Struthio camelus: one gene and its partner. The protein of the gene in region 1 interacts with the protein of each later gene in a biochemical or structural test. Links are inferred from orthologs where the notes say so. Each region holds a gene or a part of one and is shown in the gene's direction. Other genes may lie near its edges.

Region 1 (7,151 bases):
AGCAGCCATAAAGAAGACTTTGTTAGATAAGGTCAAGCTGGAATCTCCTTCTCTGTCTGTGGCATCTGCCAGCAAAGTCAGTCTGTTCACCAGTAAGAGCCCCAGCAGTAAGAAGAACTGACCAGGCTACCGTAATCTGGCTGTGCTGATAGTCAGTCTCCTATATGTCCTTTCTTCTTTGTTTAAGGAAAAACCTCTCGCTGTGGATGTTGGTGTTCCCCATACCTGGCTCTCAGCTTGCAGCAGCTGTGGGGCAGCATGAGGCTGTAGGAGAGGATCTATCTATCTATCAATCACCTCTAGCGGGATTGGTGAAAACTGCCCCTAGCGTTGCTGTTCTCTGTTGGGCAGGGGTGTGATAGCATCACCAGAGCTTTATCAAGGGCATCATTTGGCCAGAGGCCCTGGATACCCCCAGAGCTCAGGCAGTGTTTATTGTGTCCCATGCAGATGTGGTTTCTACTGGTATTTCTAAGAGGTTTCAGAATGCCTTTTGGTCTCAGTGGTTTGAACCAGGCTGGATCCCTCTTGCCTCAGCATGTGCTGTCAGAGCTTGTCTTCTGTCACTGTCTATATTAGCTAGAACAGATACTACTGCAGAAATGCAGTGCTCTGCGCTCCATTAGAGGCTAGGCTCTAATGTACCTCTCAAAAGGGATCAAAGTGCCTCTGCCCTGTTTCCCATCTGCCTTGATTTGACAGCCCAATGATGTGAACCCCTGGCCTTCAAGCACCCCAAGTGCTTGAACCGCACCGCATCTCTCTTCACTGGCTACTCCTTCTCCCTGCTGCACGTAGTTTGGGAACAATGACCTACTCTCACTGTCCTTCCTTTGCTGCCTAGCCTTCTTGGGTGTTTGGGCAGGTGGAGGGGTAGCACGTGCTCCCTCTTCCCTCTGTTTCTGGCACCTGTGAACTCCTCACAAGCAGAATCTGCTCCCATACACCCATGGGTATGCTTCAGTGGTCGCTGTGCTTCCTGATGCTCTCCTTGCTGCCCCAGGAGAAGTGCAGAGCGGAGGTCAGGGATACCCTCCCCCAGAGAAAGCCCTCTACTGCGCTGCTCCCTTAGGCTCAAGTGGGCTTTGTCTGGTTGGGTTTGGTACCCAGGTGCTGGGTTACCGCGTGGCAGCAGAACTCTCCTCGACTCCTTTCCTTGAATTGGGCCGTGTCGTCTTCTTGGGTTGTGGTGTTGGCACTCGCTGCCAGGGGCTACTGTGCTTCAGCTCCTGCAGTTTAGATATGCTGCAGTGGGCTGGTTCTCCCTTCCAGACAATAGTGCCCTGGGCTGGGATGATGAATTCTGGCACAGCAGCCCTCAGTATCCCTTTGTGTTGGCACAGTTAGGTTTCTTTGGCATTTTCTAGCCCATTTCTGATTATTATTTTTTCTTCCTGTTCTTTTGACGACATCACGCTGCTAATGGCTAAAAGAGGAAACACCTAGAAACTAGTTGGGGATGCTTCATGCAGTTGCATTCCTAGTCCTTTAGTATACAAGACTGAAGGGAAACACGGAATCCTCTGGTCTGGCTTGTGGCTCAAATGTTGTTCTTTCTCACATAGCTTATCTTGCATGAGATCCAGGAAGAGAATGGTTCAGTCCTTGCCTGACACAAAAGAGGTTAAGGGAGTACTCGTGAGTGCCTAGTGCCTGTGCAGCAACAAGGAGCTGTTTGGTGAAGCGTGTCCAGATGACTGTACCCTTGCAGAGGAGGAAAACCCTTGATGTTCCCGTCTGGAGAATTTCTCTCCACCGTAACTCAAATGTGTGAGCAAGAAACAGCAGAGAAAAATGGGGTCTGGAAGCAGTGTTTTCTGGTGCCCATTGAACTCCAGGACTTCTGAGGGGAGAAATCTGGCCAGGCTTGGGGTAGCAGCAGGCTGAGAGGGAAGCCCTGCTTGACCCTTCTCAGCAACTGGGGGGATTACAGCCCATCATGTAGAAAGATGGTTAATCAGGCACGGTCTTGGGAGCCATCTCAAGAACAGCAGCAAATACAAGGTTTCATCTGCTGCTTTATGTGACTTTTTTATAGTAAATACCCTTGGGTGGCTTCCTTGCCTCTACTCTTCTCTCAGACCCTGAGTGCTATCCTGAGCCAGAAAACAGTACAAAGCATTCAAACTGCCCCTATCGCTTTTAGCTGGCTGCAGTGGAAGCAGCAGACTAGAGGGGATGGAGGGGGTTTGGGTGGATAAATGTCATACTATATTCTACCTTGGGATACACTGGGGTAGTGCTGGTAAAAGGAAGACATTTAAGCTGGGCTTATTTTCTCTCCTGAGGAATCCTGGGTATCTTGGTGATACAGGAAAAGCATTTAGGTAACAGTGCAGAGGCTGCCAAAGGTGCTAATAATAGAAAAGCTTCTTCAGTGTTAGGCTTTCGGCTGGTAGCAGGGTATGACCCTTTAGGCCTTGGAGATGGTGACTCCTCTTCCCTCTTTATATAATAAACTGCTTCTCTGACTGAGGCCTGTGGCTAGTCCCAGCTCTTTGGACTGGGTGGGTCTCTTGGTTGTGGCTGGTGCCAGCAGATCCTCGCTGTTCCCAGGGAGTGTGCTTGGGCTGTGCTGCTCTCCTGTCTTCGAGGCTCGTTTGGCCGTGGGACTGGGAAGGTATCAGTTTCTCCTTGTCATTTACAGTTCCTGAGCAACAACATAAGGGTTATTTTAGGGCCCTATGCTACCAGTATTCAGAGGTTTAAAGAAAATTGAAGGAAAAAAGCCTTCTGGCTGAAATCAGGCTGAGGATTTTTGAGTGTTAATTTCTGTCATACCGTCCTGAAACTGTAGGCTTCCTAGCAGTTCTGCTACTGCAGACAAGAGTCCATGGGAAGCAAGTTGGTGCCACATGTTCCTCTCCTTCCCTGCTCAAAAGCTGTGAACACCCTGCACAGATCTGCCAAGCTGTAAGTCAGATGGTTGAAATACTGTCTGATTAAAAAGTGAATGGGGCATTGCACAAAGTGTTTCCACACAGCTGATAATGTGGAACACGATAAAAGGTAGCACAATGAGCTTGTGCCCCTCCAGAGGGATATATGGGCTGCCCCAGTGTGCCCTAGAAGAGGCATTGCTGTGCAAGAACTAGAGCTGAGCTTGCTCGATGCTTGCAGACCTGTAACTTAGCTGGTCAGCACAGAAGAGAAAAAGCCCATCAAAGCATATAAAATGACTCTGTGCGGCTCTAGTTTGTGTGTCCCCTGCATGCATGGCAGAGGACAGTGGAGCTGCTGTTGAATGTCCAGGGCCCAGATTTTTTCCTTATAAGGATCATGCTTTCTCCATGATGTCTTAATTCATGTGTGCCTGGTTTCACTGATGTCCTTCCTCCGCTGTGCTCATCTGGTGTGCTCTGGTGGGCAGAGGCCTGCTTTGCTTGTCGTGCAGCAGCAAAGAGGATAGGTACAAATATTGCTGTGTTATGGACACAGAGCACAGAGTTATAGCAGGATAGATGGGGACACATGGGTCAAGCCAGGCATGATGGGGGGGAGAGCACCATTTCACAGCCCGAGAGCCAGCCCTGCTCGTACACTTTTTCAGCAGAAACTTGCTTCAGCATTGTCACTAATGCCTCGGAGAGCAGCTGCAAAGCCCTCTTCCTTAAGTCAGCATTTTCAGGGGAGACCTTGCTGCTCCCTGCAGTTTCAGCAGCTCTGAGAAACTGTAGATGCAGCAAAGATGAGCTGCTGAGACGGAGCAAGGAGCGTGGAAGCGCGGGAGCGGCTGGCTGAGCAGGAGCAGGGGCGATGCTCCCCTCCGCACTGGGGCAAAGTTAAAACGCTGGACGTGGGGTCTGTGCCAGCCCCTGCGGAGGGCTTCGCGTGTGTGATTGCAGCGGTGGCCCAGGGGAGCGGGCCGGGAGCGGGGCGGCGGCGCCGCAGGAGCCGGGCGGTGCCCGGCCGCGCCAGGCCCCGCTCCGGGTTGGTTTATCCGGGCAGGCGGCTGCAGCGCTGCTCTGGCTCCCGGAGGAGGCGGCGGCGGCGGCGGCCGGGCCGGGCCCGTCCCCGCGGCTCGGGGGCGGCGGCGCTACCGGGCCCGGAGCCAGCCGGCCGCCCCCCCTCCCCTCCCCTCCCCTTTAAGGCGCGGCACGCCCCGCCCCCTTCCTTATCGCTGTCGCCTCCGACAGTAATGCGCGTCCCCCTTAAGGCTCGGGGCGGCTGCACCGGCCGCTTCATGAATGGAGCCACGTGACCCAAACATCACGTGACGCGTCCGTGAGCAGCGGCGGCGGCGGCGGCTGGCGGCGTCCCGGTCCCTCCCAGCGCCCGGTCCCGGCCCGGCCCGGCCCCGGCGGCACCGCGAGGAGGTGAGCGCGGCGGGCGCGGCCCCAGCCCCGGCCCCGCAGCGGGAGCGGCCCGGCCCCGGGCGGGGCGCGGCGGGGCGGGGCGGGGCGGCGGGCCGGTCCCCGGGGCCGGACCGGGCGGGGGCGGGGCCGCCGCCGCCTCGCGATGGGGGGCGATGGGGGGTGCCGGGGCCGCCGCCGCCCCGGGCTCGCGGCCCGCCCGGCCCCCGCCGCGGCGCCGCGCAACAGGTGCGGGGCCGACGGGCCCGGGAGCCGCCCCGGGACCGGGACCGGCCCGGCACCGCCCCGAGCGAGGGCGGCCCCCGCCCCGCCCCGGCGCCCGGGGGTGTCGGCGCCCCCCGGCCGCTGCCCCGGCTCCTCCCGGCTGCGGGCGCCCTCCCCGGCGGCGCCGCAGCTCCGCTCGGTGCGACCGAGCCCCGGGGGCCGGGGCAGCCTCGGCTGCGAGGCCTTGGCCGGGGCCGGGGGCTGGAGCCGGGGCTGGAGCCGGGGCTGGAGCCGGGGCCGGGGCGCAGCGCGTCCTCCCGCTCGCTCGGGCCAAGGCGCCCGGCAGGCTGCCGGACCTGGCCGGCGCGGAGGGTTTTTGCTTCGTGCCCCGTTTCTCCCTGCTCTAGGAGGGCAGGACCCCGGTTTGGTGTGTTTAGGGGGAGGCTCTTGCCTCTCTGACCGCCCAGAATTAGCGATGTTTCAATATACAGCTGCATGCTGGGGGGAGGACACCGCTGGGACCGGGGAGGGGGTCTCTGAGAGCAGGCTGCTCCCGTCGTCCCCGCAAGCGCAGGTAAAACGGGGTGCGCGGGCAGATTCCTTGACTGAATAATTACGGTGGAAGCGTTCTGGATGCGAGCTCACCTCGGACTCCCAAGGGAAGAGCGGGGATGCACGGGAGGCAGACTGTGCGTGTAGCGAGGGAAAACAACTGATCTGCTTGGATTCCTGGGACAATTGTGTCAACTAACTCAAAACCCGCGCGGGCAGAGAGAACTTTCCTGCGGCGTGCCGCGGAGCGTCTCGTAGCGCCCGGCGCCTTCCCCTGCCTCCGCATCCCGATAGATGGGCCTCCCTCTCCGGGCTGGCCTGTGCTGGAACGAGTGACGTCACCGTGTTTACACTGGGCTCATGGCACCGCTCTGTGAATCAGGAATGTGGAGAATGGGGCCTGCGTCGAATCATGCGCGCGGCTGTCAGCTCTGTCGTGCTGCCTCTGGGCTGAGGAGAGAATTGGCCGTGCTTGTGCTGAGTTCAGGCCTTTCCAGCTCTGGGGAAATGTGTTGAGGCTGCGTTTTCTTCATTGCAGTCGTTGCATTTGGCACTTCTCAGTGTGATCCTTCTTCAGGAAGCTATCGAAAGCTGAGAATCAGCAGTCTGGAGAGTTAGACCCAGCTTGGTCTCTGTCTTGACGCCAGTTCTCTGGGTGTCCTCTGTGCGAGCTGCCAAATGGTTCTGTCTCTGATCCTTTGAGCAAGGCCAGAAAATAGCCAGCAACTTGTGTCTAGGTCGTTCTTCCCGTGCTACCGACGGACTAGTGTGTTGGTTTGTCTCCATCCCTGACCCCTTTGGAAAGGGGACTGGAGGCGAGGAGAGGTGAAATCACCCAGATGCTGTCAGCCAGGGTCTTGTTACAGCTTTGAGGCTGTTCTGGGAGGCGTGTTGGATGGGAACGAGGCCTGAAAAAGTTGGATTCCTCTAGCTGGAAATGCCTGACTCTTAAAATACAAAAAAAGGTTAAATTACTGGGACCAGTCTCTTCTCCTGTCTGCGGATCAGTCTGCTGCCTCCATCCTGACTGGCTTCTTGCAGTGCATTGGATGTCTCCCAGCTACTGATTCCTCTTGGTTCCCGCTTGCCCTGACTCTCCTGACAGCAGCGGTCGGATCTGCGAGCACTTTGGGTGAGGGTCGGGAGGGTGCAGTGGGCTTCGTTAGAAGGCCTCTTTGTGGCAGCCTCGTTTGTTCAGCCAACCCAATCACAGGCTTTTGTCATGTAAAAAATTTGCTTTATCAGGTTGTAGCTGTATGATGTGGATAGGAGAAGTGTTTCTAGATGGCTCCTGAGATGCGTTGCATAGACCTCTGGATTCCCCGGTAAAGGGTTTTGCTGAGCCGGTTTGGCCCTAAATTTGAACATGCAGTTTCCTTCCCCCATGTTAGCCTGTTCCTTGGGATTTTCTTCTGTGGGTTCCTGTAGCTTTAACAGCAGTGACAGTGCCACAGGGCCTTTGTGGGTCCAGGCTGTGCGAGCACCGCTGCTGAATCTCCGCAGCCTGCCCGGCGGAGTTCCCTTCCCCGGGGCCGGTCTGCTGCTGCAGCGCCCGTGGCCTTGGTTGTTTGTTTTCAGCTCCGCTGTGATGAAGGAAGTTTGAGTGCTTGCCAGGCAGCTGAGTGCTGGTTAAGGCCACAAGGCAAACAAACTTCTCCGTTCCCACTGACCGTGCCTGGCCTCTGCTCCTTATGCTCAGCAGAGGACGCTGCAGGGAGGTGCTGCTGGGGTGGCGTTATTGGTCTCCCCAGTTGATCCCTTTCTTCTGCCCCTCTTCTCAGCAGCCATGTTGTTTGCCAAGGAGGAGCAGAGGAGAGAGGTATGAGCAAAAGGGAAAAATTGATTTTTATGAAGCAATTGCGTATGTGCTGCCCGTCCTGTGTTAGCCTGCTTCCTTGCAGCTAGCTTCCCTGGCTGACAAAGTGACCTTTTTACACCAGCACTGTCAGGTTGTAGCAGGCATCTCATTGGAAGGAACATTGTCCTCTGGGTATAAATAGCCTGCCTCCCGGCAGGCTCCAAGCTTTGGGAGCATCTGAATTTTACCTGTCTACTAGGTGTCTTGGAGAGCACTAACCCCTT
Region 2 (7,674 bases), on another chromosome or scaffold:
AGGCGCCAGGACGAGCGGGGCGCTGAGCCGCTTCGCCGGTGCGGCCTCATCCTGCTGGAGAGCCCCGGGCGCCTTCCTCCCGACCCTCCTCTTCCGCAGGGACCGTCGCGCGTGGCTCCTCGGTGGCCTGCAGCGCCTGGGGCGAGACGGGGCGGCCGCCCACCCGTGGGGCACGGCACCGTGCGGGGACCTTCCCGGCCGGACGCCTGGGTCCCCGGGCTGGGGAGGGGGAGAGGGGTGCACCCGGAGGGGTGCACGGGAGCAGGACCCCGGCCCGTCTCCCACCTGCCGTGCCGCCTAGTCCCTCCGCTCTGCCGGCTCCCTCCGCGCCGAGCTACCCGCCAGGTAATCCAAGAGGACGAAGCCGTAGGCTGCCGGCTCCGGGGCCGCCTGGGTGGAGAGAGGCAGAGGAGGTCGGAGGAAGGCCGGCGCCGGCGGCGGGGGGGCCGGGCGGCCGCACTCACCCGGAGGCTCAGCCTCTGCGCCACGTGCTGCGGGTCGCTCTCCAGGATCACCCTGCGGCGAGGAAGGGCCGCGGGGCGGCGCGGTCAGGGCGCGGGAGCCTCCGTGCCTCGGTTTCCCCTCCGTGCGCGACGCCTCGACGAGGAGCCGGGGTGGGATGCTCAGGTCCGGCCGGGAGCCGGGCAGAGACGGAGCCGGCTCGTTTCCCCCGCCCGGGGACACCGCGGGTCCCCGCAACCCGCCGTGCCCCCAGCTCCTTTTGCTGTTTTGCCCCCAAACCCCGGCAGCAACTCACCCCCCGTCCACGATCTCGTCCACCACCAGGAACGCCCCGTCCATGTTGTCCAGCAGCCAGCGCTTCTCCACGTCCCCGCTGCGGGCGGCATCATGCATCACCCCCGTCCCGCTGGGATGCGGGGTGGGGGGGGCCGAGACCCCCTCCGTGCCGGGGTGGACGGCAGCGGGGGGGGGGACACACGCGGGTTTCGTCCCGGTGCCGCTGCTGGACTCACCGCCGCACGAGGCCGAGGGTCTCCACGAGGCAGCTGAGAACCGACGCCAGCACGAGCTGCAGGGACGAGCGGCGGCGTGAGCGGCGGCCGGGGGGGACCGAGGGGGGCCGGAGCTGGGGGGGGGGCTCACCTCGTTCTCCTGGCAGCTCCCCGCCACGCAGAAGAAGAGGTCGGCGCTGCTCTGGCAGACGGCGGTGAGGCCCTGCAGCGCGGCGACGTCGCCTGGTGCGGGCGGCCGGGCGGCATCAGCCGGACCCGCTGGGACCCCCCCGCTCCGGGCCGCCCCCCCCCCCCCCCGGTGCTCACCGCCCGCCCGCTGGGCTTTGCTGAAGACGCTCCTCTCGAATGCCGCCTGCTCCTCCGGCGAGGGGAAGGTGCCGTCGTAGTACTGCGGACCGGGGCGCCGGCGTCACCGCCGGGACCCCCAGCAGCAGCCCCGAAATCTGGCCCGGGGGGCAGCTGGGGCACCGCCGGCCTCCCTGGGTGGGGGGAAACTGAGGCAGCGAGCCCTTGGGGGGGGCGCTGCGCGGGGGTGCTCGGCACCGGCCGGCCCTACCTTGGCCAGGAGCCGCTGCCCATCGCTGTCCAGGATGAAAAGGGCCTTGACGGTGTAGAGAGAGGGCTCCCGCCGCTGGGACGGGCCGGGGGCTCAGCCTGGCGGCGGGTCCCGCCGGACCCACGTCCGTCCCCCCTCTCCGCTCCTTGCCCCCCGTTTCTTCCCGTTCTCCCCATTTCCCCTCTTCTCTGTCCTCCCCAACACCTGTTTTTTCCCCTTTCTCGCTGTCGCTCCCTTTTTCCCCCCTGTTTCCCCCATTCCCTGTCCCCGTTTCCCCCTGTTTCTCCACCTTCCTCCCCTGTCACCGCCCCCGGTCTCTCCCCGTTTTGCTCGTTTCCCGTCGCTCTGCCTCCCCTTCCCCGCCGCTTTCCTCCGCTCCCCGCTGGCTCCCCGTTTCTCCCGGCTCCCTGTCATCAGCCTGTGTTTCCCTCTCGTTGCCCCGTCTTTCCCCTGTTTTTCTCCCTTTTTTCCCTCCCTTTTCTCCCCATTTCTGCTTGCTTCTCCATGTTTTCCACCGTTTCCCATCTCTCCTGTTTTTTTCCCCCCCATTTTTCGGTCTCATCCCGCTACGCCCGTGCAAAGTTCCCGGGAAGTTGCTGTGTCCCCGCTCCCGGCCGTACCGGCAGCCCCGCGGGCTCCATGGCTCCGCCGCCCCCGGCAGCCCCCCGCCGCTGACGTGGCCGTGCGCGGCCCGGCCCGCTCCGCCCCGCGGCCCCCCTGTGCCCCCCCTGCACCCTGCCTCAGCCCCACTGCATTGCCCCCCTGCCCCCTGCTCTGCACCCTGCATCGTTCCCCCCCCCCAACCCCGGCACCCTGCTCTGTCCTGTTGCACCCTGCTCTGTCCTGTTGCACCCTGCTCTGCACCCTGCATCACCCCCCCGCACTACCCCCCGCACCCTGCTCTGCCCCATTGCAACCTGCATCGTCCCCCCGCACCCTGCTCTGCCCTGTTGCATCCTGCATCGTCCCCCTGCACCCCACATCACCCCATTGCACCCTGCTCTGCCCCCCCTGCACCCTGCCCCCTCCCCCTGCACGCTGCTCTGTCCCCAATGCACACCCAGCCCCTGCCCTTGCACCCCTGCCTTGCCCCACTGCACCCCCATCTCACCCCCCTGCAGTACCCAGGCCCCCCCGAGCCCACCCCCTCGGCCATGTGCCGTGGGGTGCCCTGGAGCCCGGGACTCCCAGGTGCCCCAAATTGGGACTTTCAGGTAAGCCCATGGGGCCACCCGCAGTGGGGCAAGGGGGGGGTCACCTCCCACCCCAATTTCTGTGGCCTTTAACTCGGGGACCCCTCCGTGGGTGCCAGGGACACGGTGGGGAGGCGAGGGCAGCGAGATGGGGCGTCCTGGCGGCGCGGGGAGCCCGGCGCGGGGTCCGGCCGGCGGGTGCTGGTGGGAGACGGGCTCGGCCCCGGGGGCAGCACGCGGCCGCTGCCAGCGCATCGGCACCTCCCTGGGCGCCGTGGCACGGGGCCCTCTGCCCCGTCGGGGGCTGCGGGGGGGCCGGGATGCTCTGGACCCTGCTGCAGGAGAGGCTGGGGCCCCCCCGGGCGGTGATTCCCAGCTGGTCGTCCCCCCCCCCCCACCGGGGGGTCTGCAACTCCAGGTCTGTGAGCTCCCGGTTGGTGATCCCGGGGCTGGGGACCCCCCCCCAGCTCCGACCCTGCAGCCTTGGTCTAGGACCCCGGGTGCGCGATCCCGGATCTGGCCGTGGGGGCAGGCTGCCTGCTGGCCGCCCTGGCCGTGACCGTGGCCGTGGCCCCGCCGTCCCGGGGTCCGGGAGGTCGCGTTGAGCAACCGGCTCCCGCCCTGCTCCGACCCAGAGTCTCTCCGTGACTCCCCGATTGCAACCGATTCACCCATTTGCTTTAACCTCCACGGCTGGCGCTGGGGGGGGTGGGTGGGTGGCTGAGGGGCACGGTTGTGCCGGGGCTGGGGGCTCCGATCCTGCTCCTGCTCCAGCCAGCGAAGCACCGACGCGCTCCCGGGACGGGCCCTTAAGCGAGGAGCACGCTCGTGCCGAGAAGGGAGGATCGGGGGGCAGGAAGGGAGGAAGCAGCGGCCTCAGCGATGCCGGTGAGGGCGGGAAGGGTGCTGGAGGGCGGCCGGCGGGCTCTCTGCCGCCCCGCAGGAGGCCCGATTCCCCCTCCGCGGACTCCAGGCTGGAAAGCGCATGGGCGGCGAGAGCTGCATCCTGACGCGTGACAGGAGCCTCGTTCGCCGGGGTTGAATTCGAACCCGGGGACCAAAAAAACACCCCAAAACCCCCCAAAACTCGCTGTGGGATTGGCCTGGGAGAGCAGCTCGCCCCCCCCCCCCCCCGGTCGCTGCTGGGCCGAGCCCGCCGGCGAGGCAGGTCCGTCGCTCGCGGCGCTCAGGTGACGGGGCCGGCTGCCATCCCTCCAAATAACCCCGCAGGGGGAAGCTAAAAATAACCCGGCGAGGGGGCAGCGCGGCTCGAGTTGCTCCGGGCACCCGCCGCGGACGGTGGGTAGGATGGAGGGGAGAAGGGGCTCCCACCACGGGGGGGGGGGGTCATCGCCCCCCCCCCGGCTCTCGTGGGTGTTTCGTGGCTCGTTTTTTTTCTTTCCCCAAGAGAAAAGCGGGGAGACGGCTCGGGGCGAACGAGTGAGAACGAGCCAAGGCCGGAAGCGGCGATGGCGCCGCCGCCATGGCCGCCCCGGGCCCACGGCGAGGCCTCGGGCCTAAAGGCGCTGGGCGCCATGGCAACAGCTCCAGGGCGGGGCGCTGCGCTGCCGGGATTGGGGCGTGTGGCTGCCACTCAAACGCCGGCCCCTGCGCTCTGCCTCATTGGTGGCCGCCGCTGTCGCTCGGCGGAGGCGCCGCGTTCTATTGGGTAGGCGCCCTGTCGCTCCGGCAGCGCGTGCGGGGGGCGGGCCAGCGGCCTCGCGTCTCCTCTCCGGGCGTCGCGCGGGGTCCCCGCGGGAGAGCAAGGGGAGGGAGCAGCGGCCCGAGCCGCGCGCCGATTGGCCCGCCGGGCCGCCCATCACCGGCCGCGACGGGGGCGGGAGCGACACCTCCCCGCCGCCGGCTATTGGTCCGGCGCCTTGTCCCGCCTCGCCTTTCCGGGCGCCGATTGGCGGGAGGCGCCGCGCGAGGCGGGCGGGGTGGCGGCGGTTGTGGCAGGGCGGGGAGCGAGGCGCGGGGCCGGCCGCCGGCGGCTGCGGGGCCGGGAGCCGGCAGCGGGCGACGGCGGCGGAGAGCGGGTAGCGGCGGGCGGCGGGGCGGCGGCGGGGGCCGGGCCACGGGCTGCTCCCGACCGGGGGGAGGCGCTGAGGGGCGGCGGCGGCGGCGGCGGGGGGGGGAGGGGAGGCGCTGAGGGGACGGCGAGGCCGCGCGCGCGGCGGCGGGGGGGGGGGGCGGGTCACGAGGAGCTGGGGGGGGTCTTAAAGGGGCCGCGGTGGCGGGGAGGGGGGAATCTTAAAGGGGCCGCGCGGCCCCTTGTCAGGCCGCGGCCCCGGTCGGGAGCAGCCCGCGGGGTGGGGCCGTGCCCTCGGGTCTCGCCGCCCGTGGGGGGCCCCGAGTGGGTGTTGCGGTGCCGAGGAGCGAGAGGGAGCCGGGGCTGGATGCCTCTCCAGAGAGGGGATGTTGACGCACCAGGCTAAGAATAGCTCAGGGAGGGGAAGCGTGGACAATGCTGTCGCGAAAGGTAACCTTTGTTTTGTGTGTTTCTGCCTCAGGGTTTTGTCAGGAAATCAGCGAGATTAGCTCGGCTCCTGGGGAGGCTGTGCGTGGCGAAACGGTGTAGTAGGTACATGTGCAACGCTTAGGGTGGTGCCTGGTCGGCGCGTTATCGCCTTTGCGCACTGGTTATATTTCAGCTTCTGATGAAATCGCGGCCAGAAGTGGAGGAGTCTTTGAACCTTTCCTTGATCAGTACCTTTGACTCGTAGAGGCTCCTTCAAGAAGCTTCTCAGACCTTGAGGGGGAAAGAAGAAAGCAAGCAGTTGGCTGTCAGAGAGAGCACACCCTGTCCTGAGCGGGGCGAGGATTTGGGAAGGCTAGAGGAAGTTGCTGTATGTGAACTTTTTGGACAGTAAGTCACATGGATTTTTATGTAGCTTATGAACAGTTTTATAAAACAGTTATGTTTCAGAAGAGGAGGAAAGGGCACTGGCGGGTGGAGGCTGTCTCCGAGGGTATGGTTCGTCACTTCTTGAGATTTAAATCTTTGATTGGACCCTGCTGGCCAACCTGTGATTTCTGGTATGTTAGGAGTTTTAAAAGAAAAACAAAATCATCCAGAACCAAAGTTTTGAATGTTCTTTAGACTTTTAGCTTGTTGTTTTGTGATAACCTGAACTGTGAAGTCTTTGCTTTATTTTGTTTGCCTAAAAGTGGGGCAGAGGAAAGACAAACCCAACCAACCTGTTGTGTGGAGAGTTAATTGGACTTTTTTTTTTTTAAGCCTTCCACCTGTTTTCTTCTTTTCTCCTTCAGAAATGCTTTCTCTGAAGAAATATTTCACTGAAGGCCTCATCCAGTTCACTATTCTGCTCAGCTTGATAGGCGTTCGTGTGGACGTGGACACCTACCTGAACTCGCAGCTCCCCCCTCTAAGGGAAATCATTCTCGGCCAGAGCTCTGCTTACACTCAGACCCAGTTTCACAATCTGCGCAACACCTTGGATGGATATGGCATCCATCCAAAAAGCGTAGACCTGGACTATTATTTCACAGCTCGCAGGCTCCTCAATCAGGTGAGGGCCCTGGACAGGTTTCAAGTGCCCACCACTGAAGTCAATGCCTGGTTGGTGCACAGAGACCCTGAAGGCTCTGTGTCCGGTACCCAGCCCAGCGCCGGCATCGCCCTTGAGAACGGCAGCGGCCTGCAGGATGGGACCAGCCCTGACAATGGCGTGAGGGAGAGCGGAGCTGAGCAGGGATTTGGTGAAGAACTGGAAGACTTGGGAGCGGTGGCACCCCCAGTGAATGGAGACCTGACCAAAGAGGTAGGCAGTGCCTTCTTTCATATAAGACACGTGTCAGGAAAGAAAGGGAGCCCTTTGAGGGCTCTGGGAGTAGTCTGGCTCTGGCACGTTTGATATCCATCAGGGCCTGTTAAAGTGAGCAGGACTTTCTGCATTGTGCCTGCTTAGCACTTTGGAAAAGTGGGCCCCTGCTTGTGAATTGCATGGCGCTGAATTAAGCTTTAGCTAGAGGGCTCTAGGTGGATACACGTGGTTTGTGTTTTATCCTCTCTTTTTTTTAATTGTTTTATTCTTGGTTTGAAAGTAGTAGTGAGAGGGGGTGAAAGGGTTGGGATCAGTATTTCAACCTGTGCCTGTAGCTTTGTGTTGTGAAACCGATAACACTGGGAAATAAACAGGAGCATTGGGTAACAGCCATATCCCAGGTGCCGAACGGGTGGTTGGGTTACTTGCTGCTGGAGTTCATCCAGTTGATGTTTATTGCTTGGGTTTTCATCAGAGAAGGGTGGGGAGAGGTGAATTGGAAAGAGGTTTATTTTTCTGTCTGAGCGTAACCTTTCAAATGCTGTGATGCAATCAAGTTCTGGCCCCCAGTAGCTGCTGCGCTCTTTCCTTTGTGGCGTTGGTTTCTTTGTCAAGGCATGTTCAGCCTTAACATCTCTCTGGCCGTGTTGTGTTGATGTTGGTGCTGAATTCCAGTGTTAGGTGCTTCTAGCGCCGCTGCTGCTCCTCATAAATTGTTCAGGGCTGAGCTGCTCAGGAGGCTGGGCACAGAAAGAGCTGAATTTGACTCCTGTGATCCCCTGTCCCCTGTGATGAAGCTTAGGGGTGGCTCTTTGGCACCAGAAGGTGGGGAACTTTGCAGGCAGCTGTCGCGGATGCCTTGAGCTTTTGTCATGTGGTTTCTGCAGGCAGGAAATCGTGTAAAGACAGTGATAGGAACGCATTCGTGTAGGAGAGGCAACGGTGACGACTGTTTCAGATTTAGTATTTACTGAGGATGGGCTGATGCCGTAGGAAGTGTGGATGGTGCCTAGGTTGTACTTGCGGGAAGCCTTGCCCTGTCCGCTAGGATCTCCTAGCTCCGGAGGCGAAGAGCATGTTGGCAGTGTTGAGACTATGGAACTGAGTGTCAAAGCCCTCTTTCTGCCTGCAGCCAGCGCTTTGTGTGACCTTGGGTGCCTCCG

The links.
Region 2: the proteins of MAFG (region 1) and NFE2L1 form a complex in vitro, tested with the Homo sapiens proteins (2 studies listed by BioGRID and IntAct, with this or other methods). The link is inferred for Struthio camelus from reciprocal best matches to the Homo sapiens genes MAFG and NFE2L1.

Annotation. Positions count from the first base shown.
Region 1 is NC_090960.1:370,162-377,312, forward strand, and holds the start of MAFG (transcription factor MafG), read left to right. Parts: upstream 1-4,137; 5' UTR 4,138-4,316; intron 4,317-5,033; exon of another isoform or gene 5,034-5,091; intron 5,092-5,128; exon of another isoform or gene 5,129-6,201; intron 6,202-7,151. Other genes in the region: PYCR1 (pyrroline-5-carboxylate reductase 1, mitochondrial), read left to right, coding at 1-121. UniProt on the Homo sapiens protein: Since they lack a putative transactivation domain, the small Mafs behave as transcriptional repressors when they dimerize among themselves.
Region 2 is NC_090966.1:5,758,681-5,766,354, reverse strand, and holds the start of NFE2L1 (endoplasmic reticulum membrane sensor NFE2L1), read left to right. Parts: upstream 1-4,665; 5' UTR 4,666-4,762; intron 4,763-4,971; exon of another isoform or gene 4,972-5,307; intron 5,308-5,377; exon of another isoform or gene 5,378-5,449; 5' UTR 5,450-5,592; intron 5,593-5,996; 5' UTR 5,997-5,998; coding exon 5,999-6,508; intron 6,509-7,674. Other genes in the region: COPZ2 (coatomer subunit zeta-2), read right to left, coding at 335-390, 465-597, 758-835, 975-1,030, 1,105-1,196, 1,281-1,453, 1,531-1,605, 2,151-2,171.